Linked DNA regions of Canis lupus familiaris. The protein of the gene in region 1 interacts with the protein of each later gene in a biochemical or structural test. Links are inferred from orthologs where the notes say so. Each region holds a gene or a part of one and is shown on either strand. Other genes may lie near its edges.

What was found.
Region 2: the proteins of DLG1 (region 1) and PKP4 interact in a test that uses a peptide from one of them, tested with the Homo sapiens proteins (2 studies listed by IntAct, with this or other methods). The link is inferred for Canis lupus familiaris from reciprocal best matches to the Homo sapiens genes DLG1 and PKP4.

Annotation. Positions count from the first base shown.
Region 1 is NC_049254.1:30,811,027-30,814,850, forward strand, and holds part of DLG1 (disks large homolog 1), read right to left. Parts: intron 3,043-3,824; coding exon 2,873-3,042; intron 1,507-2,872; coding exon 1,370-1,506; intron 1-1,369. UniProt on the Homo sapiens protein: Essential multidomain scaffolding protein required for normal development. Recruits channels, receptors and signaling molecules to discrete plasma membrane domains in polarized cells.
Region 2 is NC_049257.1:4,782,602-4,786,425, forward strand, and holds part of PKP4 (plakophilin-4), read left to right. Parts: intron 1-205; coding exon 206-397; intron 398-601; coding exon 602-775; intron 776-3,824. UniProt on the Homo sapiens protein: Plays a role as a regulator of Rho activity during cytokinesis. May play a role in junctional plaques.

The DNA.
Region 1 (3,824 bases):
AACCCAACTTACTACTGTATCAGATCTAGTTTATGTGCCTTTTCAGATTTTCTTGAGCCTACATGCCTACTAGGCTTTGGCTGTGTGCTTACTGGAGAGTCCTGGCTACCACTTCTCTCACCTTGTCTCCTACCATTACCAGATCTTTTAATCTTTTCTAGGGTAAGGGCTGCACTTGGCATGACTAATGTGTTACACAGAAATGAGAGCTGTAACACGTCAAAAGCCTGTGTTCTGGTCTGTCTAGATCACTGAAGCTCTGGTTCTTTCCATCACTTCTCAGTTCAGAGGAAATGCTATACCATGGAGTATGGGAGCTGGCTTCCCTAGCATTTGCCCAGAGTAGCTGAGTAACAGTGCAGAAATTAGGGACAGTTACCATTCATGGAATAGACTCTATCTAACAAGAGATAGGGAGACAAATATTTTCTTTTCCCTGGATGGCTGGATCTAAAGTTTAATAGTGTCACATCACCTGACTGGAAGGCTGTCCTATATGTCAATTAGTGACATTTTCTTATGAAATTATAGCCAGCTCAGAAACATAATACCTTGTATTGACTTTCCCCTATTCTCTCCCTCACTTTTCATTTTCATTCACTCTAGCTTCTGAGATTACATCTCCCAATGAAACCTTAGCACGGTACCTTTTCTTCAGATGTTTTTCTAGGGAACATAGACTAGGATCATTATTGATGAAGACTGGATAAATAAACTGCAGTATAGATCTGGAGCTATATTATGTAGAGGTGAAATGAATAAATTTTTAGCTCTAGGCAACAATCTGGATAAATCTCAGTAAACCAATTCTGAGTAAAAAATAAAATTTAAAAGACTACATTCAGCACAACAGCCTTTTTTTTTTTTTTTGTTTTTTTTTCACAACAGCCTTTAAGAACATTTTCAGAACAAATTAATATTAAACAAGATATTTAGGCATAGGTATGTGATTAAACAATTTTTAAAAGCAAATGAATAAAAAACAAGTTGTTGATATTCTAGTTTTGATTTTAGCAGTCTTCATTATACTATAATTAAGTAACAAGAAAAAGAAAGTCACACACAAAGGGTGATACTGTGTTTAAACAATTCTGTGCATCCAACTCCCTAGCCCTTCAACAAAAAAGAGTAGGAAAAGGAAGGAAAAAAAAAAAAAAAGAAAGAAAAGAGAGAGAAGCTAGTAGAGGGGGAACAAAGGGGCAAATAATACCAAGAACCATTTTTCAGGTTTTGATTAAAAATTAGTGTTCATTCATTTAAATATTGTTTAAACATTTTTGGCAAGAAAAATTTCAGTTTTTCCAAAAAAAAAAAAAAAAAAGAGGAGACATGAAAATGATTTTTAAAATAACAGCTTTCTTATACTCACTGCTAAAAGTTTATCTCCAATCTGAAGTTTACCATCTTTATGTGCTGCACCTCCTTCAATTATCTTGGTTACATAGATGCTATTATCCCCAGGAATATGTTGATTTCCAACACCTCCAGCAATGCTGAACCCAAGACCTGTTTGGAAAATACTAGTTTTGAAATTTCATCATTTAAAGTATTTTTAAGTCCAGAAATGGTTGAAAACTAGAAGGTGACAGTCTTATCACACTCATGTTTTTTGGTTTTTTTTTTTAAATACAGACGAATCTATTTGTCTACTTTTTTTTTTTAAAGTAGCCTCCACCCCCAGCATGGGGCCCAGAGGGGGGACTTGAACTTAAAACCCTGAGATCGAGACCTGAGCTGAGATCAAGGGTTGGATGCTCAAGTGACTGAGTCACCCAAGCACACCTATTTGCCTATTTTTTAAGTCTTACGTGTTTACTTTGTAGTCATTGAACAATTTTTTATATAGATGTTCCTACAGTTAGAAATAAGTTCTGTCCTCTCTGCCCAGGTTACTTCTTAAGGTCTGTTTGTAAATGCGTTTGTTAGTTCAAAGAGGCATTACAAAATTATGTTTCAATTTTGTTCCCATCATGATTGTGTTTCTAACACTTTTAATACCTTCATAAGAGTAAAACAATTGAGAAAAATAATAAAATTTTTTGGTAGTAGGCAGAACTAATAGGCTTCACAATGTGGATAATTTTGTTCCTTTTCCAATATTCTATGAATTACTTTTATTTTTTTAAAGATTCACTTATTTATTTTAGAAAGAGAGAAAGTACACATGAGTCAGAGGGATGGGGGGTGGGGGAGGAAAGGGAGAGTATGAGAGGGTCTTAAGCAGCCTCTGTGTGGAGCCTAGAACTTTTTTTGAGCCTAGAGCTTTAAGCCTAGAGTTTGACATGCATGATCACATGACCCTGAAGTCAGGGCCTGAGCTGAAACTAAGAGTTGGAGACTTAACAGACTACCACTCAAGCGCCCCTCTGAATTTTTTAAAGAATTTCTGTAATTCATAAATTCCATAGCTTCAATACTAGACAAATTTGTAGCTTTCTATTCTTTTTTTCATTTGTTGGAATACTACTTCTTCCATAAAGTTACAAATTAGAATAAGTAATTATCCTCAATTCCATCAATGTTTTCAAAACTCAGAAATCAAGTATTAACTGTCCCCATTACAGATGAGGCTAATGACATACTCATAATTACTTCTTTCTTTTAACTTAGCCCGTGTATCTGCATTTAATACATTTTGTAGATTGATGATTACAAGTTAATAGCAACAGTATACATAAGTTCCAAGTGCTAAATAGAATTCTACCTAAGACAAAAATCAGCAGAAATTAAAGAGAAATTCTAAAAATCCACACAAGTTCTGTAGATTACTAGTACTGTTAATCTTAGAATGTGTGTCACTAGTAACTTGATAGTTACATTTATCTCAGTAATTTCTTACTTGATAATCTGTCTTGGTTTCACTATTCCATACCTTTAGGGCCTTTAATAAGCTTTATTTCCATTATTTTTTCTGATACTGGTTTCCGTCTTTTTACATACAAGCGTACGATAGACCCTGCTTCTTTCAATGCTTCAACTGCTTTGCTATGTGTCACATCACGAACATCTACTTCATTTACTCGCAATATACAGTCATTGACCCTGAGAAGAAACCCAAAATATTAAAAATAAAAATTAAATATTAAAATATAAAACTTACACATTGACAATTTTTTGTCATTTTCATTTTTAAAGTAGAGAATTATTTACTATAGAAAATATATACAAAAAAAATATATACAAAGAAACTTCAGGTTAAATTCCACCGTATCAAATAGTCATATAAATAATAAATACAAATATTTCCTGAGGGCCAACCAAATAAACAGTGCAGATAACAGATTACCACACAATAATATTAAATAATAATGATAGCTGTAATTTGTATGGTTCTTGTATGCTAATTATGTGTAAGCATTAAGATAATTACAAAAATAGCAAATATTTATTTAGCACTAACCACATGCCAAGCACTTCTTTGTGTTTTATTATTTTTTTTATTTTTTATTTTTTTAGTGTTTTAACCCTTACGACAACCTGGAGAAAGTAAGGCACAAAGAGTTTAGAATTTTCCTAAGGTCACCCAGATAATGACTGATAGAGCTGTGACTCACAGAAAAGAAAACTGAGGTTCAGATTGAGCAATAAGTTTAAGGTCACAGACACAGTGGTGGCAAAGTGGAGATAACTCATTGATTTATCCAAAAATAATTTGACTGCTTTTTCAATATGATACATAAAAAAAATAAAAGTTATATCTTGAAATTTATATGAAGCTAATGATTACATTACTTAATTAAAAGGTTCTTCATGTAAATAATTTATTTAAATTTGACACAGTAATATATTTTTTTTAAAGTTTGATTTGTTCCTAGTCCTAACTT
Region 2 (3,824 bases), on another chromosome or scaffold:
GGCTCTGCGCTCTGTCATTTGGGTATCCCACAGAAATTCTAGAATCGTGATCCTCTCCTTAGATTGTTTCAGGTTCCTATAAGTTTAAAAAAAAAAAAAGTTCTCTCATATTCTGCATTTACTTAAGATCACGGCTGCTCGGTACAGAAGCATTTTGCAGTAATGTGCCTCAATGGTTTTAATTATACGCTGTGTTGGTTTTCAGACTGTGGAGAACTGCGTGTGCACCCTGAGGAACCTGTCCTACCGGCTGGAACTGGAGGTCCCACAGGCCCGACTGCTGGGGCTGAGCGAGCTGGACGACTTGCTAGGAAAAGAGTCGCCCAGCAAGGACTCAGAGCCAAGCTGCTGGGGGAAGAAAAAGAAAAAGAAAAAGAAAACACCCCAGGAGGATCAAGTTAGCATTTTATTTGACATGAAACTCTGAGGTTTCATTTTTCTGGGAATAAGAAATCACATATTTGGCAAGAAAAGAAAATTTCTCATTATACAGTTTTTCTACCTCACTGTAGCTGAATCCAGCAGAGAGGAATGTTTTCAAGTATTGGAGAGTGTAGTGTGTTCATTTGCTTCCATTTCACGTGTGCTCTTTGTCTTGCAGTGGGATGGAGTTGGTCCTATCCCAGGACTGTCAAAGTCCCCCAAGGGGGTTGAGATGCTGTGGCATCCATCAGTGGTAAAACCGTATCTGACTCTTCTAGCAGAAAGTTCCAACCCAGCCACCTTGGAAGGCTCTGCTGGATCTCTCCAGAACCTCTCTGCTGGGAACTGGAAGGTATGATGTCCTCCGGGACCCCACACTTCTTTCCATCTGTGCGGCCAGCCCAGACCAACAATGACGGTGAAAGGGACACAGCCGTTAGGACAGACCTGGGGGGGGGGGGGGGATTGACAGCAGTTGGCTCTGGGGATCCAAAGATGAATGTGACACAGCCCTCCCTGTAGAAACTGGAGGCTAGAAAGAAAATGTACAGATCAAGTCAGTACAGTGTAGACTCCACAGGATCTGTGTACTGTGGGGTCTTAAAAAGACATCTAACCCAGCCTGGCAGGTGAGAAAAAGGCAAAGAGGAGAGCCAAGAAGTAGGGAAGGATTCTGGGAAGAATGGTGCTGCCCAAATGGAGTATTTCAAAATGAGCGGAAGTAAGCCCGCAGAGTCTGAGGTTGGTGCTACAGAGGGAGTGATCCAGAGAAAGGGACAAGAGGAGAAAGACCTTGAGGTGAGGAAAGGACAGTGTGGCAGAGACTACAGGATGCTTGCTGGGGCATCACAGGCAGCTCACACGTGGCCCAGGTGGGACCCAGGCGGTGTAGACAGGCCTGATGGCCAAGGATGATGGCCACATGACCTGCACCAGAAGGGCCACTACAAGGGTTGAAGCGGACAGGCGACACAGATGTGGATACTGTTGGGTCCCCTTAGCCGCAGTACAGAAGACAAACTCAAAGAAGTAGAAAGTAGAGGCTGGGATTCTGTGCTGAACGTGCCAGGGGCCTGAATTAGCGCTGAGCTAGGGCAGCACTTGCAGGGCAGAGGGACCACTGTTCCTGTCTCAGACTCTTCCAGAACATACGTATAGCAAAAGTTACCCCTTCTCCTCAAAGCTGTGTGGCTTCTTTATGAAAATTCAAAGTGGTTTCTTACCGTTACAACTGTAAGAGGGTCTCAGGACTTTTTAAAACATCATCTACCAAGTTCCCAGACAGTCCTTTTCTGAAATATTTTCAAACTCTAAAAATCTCCTGACCAGTGTATTTTTTTTGTTTCAAGTTTTTCATTTAAATTCTAGTTAGTTTATATATAGTGTAATATTGGTTTCAGGAATGGAATTTAGTGATTGATCACTCACTCAACACCCAGTGCTCATCACAAGTGCCCTCAATGCCCATCACCCACTTAGCCCTTCCCCCGCCCACCTCCCCTCCAGCAACCCTCAGTCTGTTTTCTATAGTTAGGACTCTCTTATGGTTTGCCTCCCTTTTTTTTTTTTTCCTTCCTTCCCCTTATGTTCATCTGTTTTGTTTCCTAAATTCCACATACACATGAAAAGTGGCTGCACCAGCTTACATTACCACCAACAGTGTAAGAGAAGAGGGTTCCCCTTTCTCGGCATCCTCACCAACCCCTGTTGTTTTCTGTGTTGTTAATTTTAGCCATTTTGACAGGTGTGAGGTGGTATCTCATCATAGTTTTGATTTGTATTTCCCTGATGATGAGTGAAGTCGAGCATCTTAACCATGTGTCTCTTGGCCATTTGTATATCTTTGTTGGAAAAAGTCTATTCATATCTGCTGTCCATTCTTAACTTGATTATTTGTTTTTTGGGTATTGAGTTTAATAAATTCTTTCTAGATTTTGGATATTGACCCTTCATCAGATACGTCATTTGCAAATATCTTCTCCCATTCCATAGGTTGTCTTTGAGTTGTCTGACAAGTGTATTTTAGTAGAGTTATTATAATGCTTGTTTTTGGCTGCTTCCTCCACCATCACCTCCCAAAATGGGAACCTTGTGGCCACTGTATTATCCATGAAAGAGAAAAGCATTGGTAAGGCTAGGTGTGGTTTGTTTCATGCAGTCAACTGCTATAATGAATGTATACAAATGTTTATGGCCTAGTGCTAAGCCAGCATGGTTAGTTTGTTATTATTGTTTTTAATTAACGTTCTAATAGCTTGGTATCTAAGGGCTGTCTCTGGAGTCAGACCCCTTGGTTTCAAATCCTGGCCCTTACATTTATTAGCTAGGGGGCTTGGATCTTTCCATCCTGTTTCTGCATCTGTAAAATGGAGGTAATACCTACCTCACGAGGTGGTTGTGAGAGCTAACTTAGACAATAACATGAAGGACCTACGACTGTGCGGCACATAAGTAGTCATAAATATATTTATGTTGATGACTCAATGTTCACATCCAGTTTCTCATGACCCGAGAGACACATTCGATGATAATAAAAAAGACAATAATTGAAATAGATGTGATATGAGTTGTGTTTAATTACACTTCTCGAGTCATTTAGTGAATGAAAGTTAGATGGCAGGCTCATTTAAAATATAAATACTGTATTAAAATAATTTCAAAAGTATCTAAAATCAAAATATTAGATCCTCATTAAGAAAACAAGATAATCATCACCACAGATGTTTTCAAGTCAAGCTATTTTGGGAGTAGCGATGACTATAGTGCCCCAGAAGGGAAATGCTCTGGGCTGGGCTGAGCCAGGTGGTCTCCAGGTGAGACAAGTGTCGACTCTGTCCTTGAAGATTTCAGAGAGAAGTTGAGAAAGTGCTTTAGTCTACAGCAAGTCATGTATTCCATTTCCTTCCCCTCCCCTACCCATAGATTTCATTTGATTTAGAAAAATAGGAGTATTTGTTTAGGAAGAATGTTACTAGGACCTTTGAAATGCATCTTTTCCTCTTCCTTGTATTATTAAAGTAATCTATTCTGTTGGTATGCAAGGAACCCAGTGGTCAATCATATATTTTAATGTTCAAAGTAACACAAAAGGCTGGCAGATCTTTGTCCTCATGCCTTGACCACAGCAGGAAAGTATTAGATGTTTTATGAGCAACATTTTTCAATTATCCTAAATTTTGAAAAACAATTTGCATTGGTAAAAAATGTCAATAAAAACTCAAAACAAGATGAAAGACCCAATTTTCAAATGCTACCTTTTTTTGGTTATTTCCCTGATGACTTAGCTGGCGTTCATTTCCAATTCAAATGGTACACACGCTGACTCGCTGAACAGACTTGCCTCATAGTCACAAAAGAATTTCTTGACTATGAATTTAAAAAAGCAGCAGCAGCTAACTAAT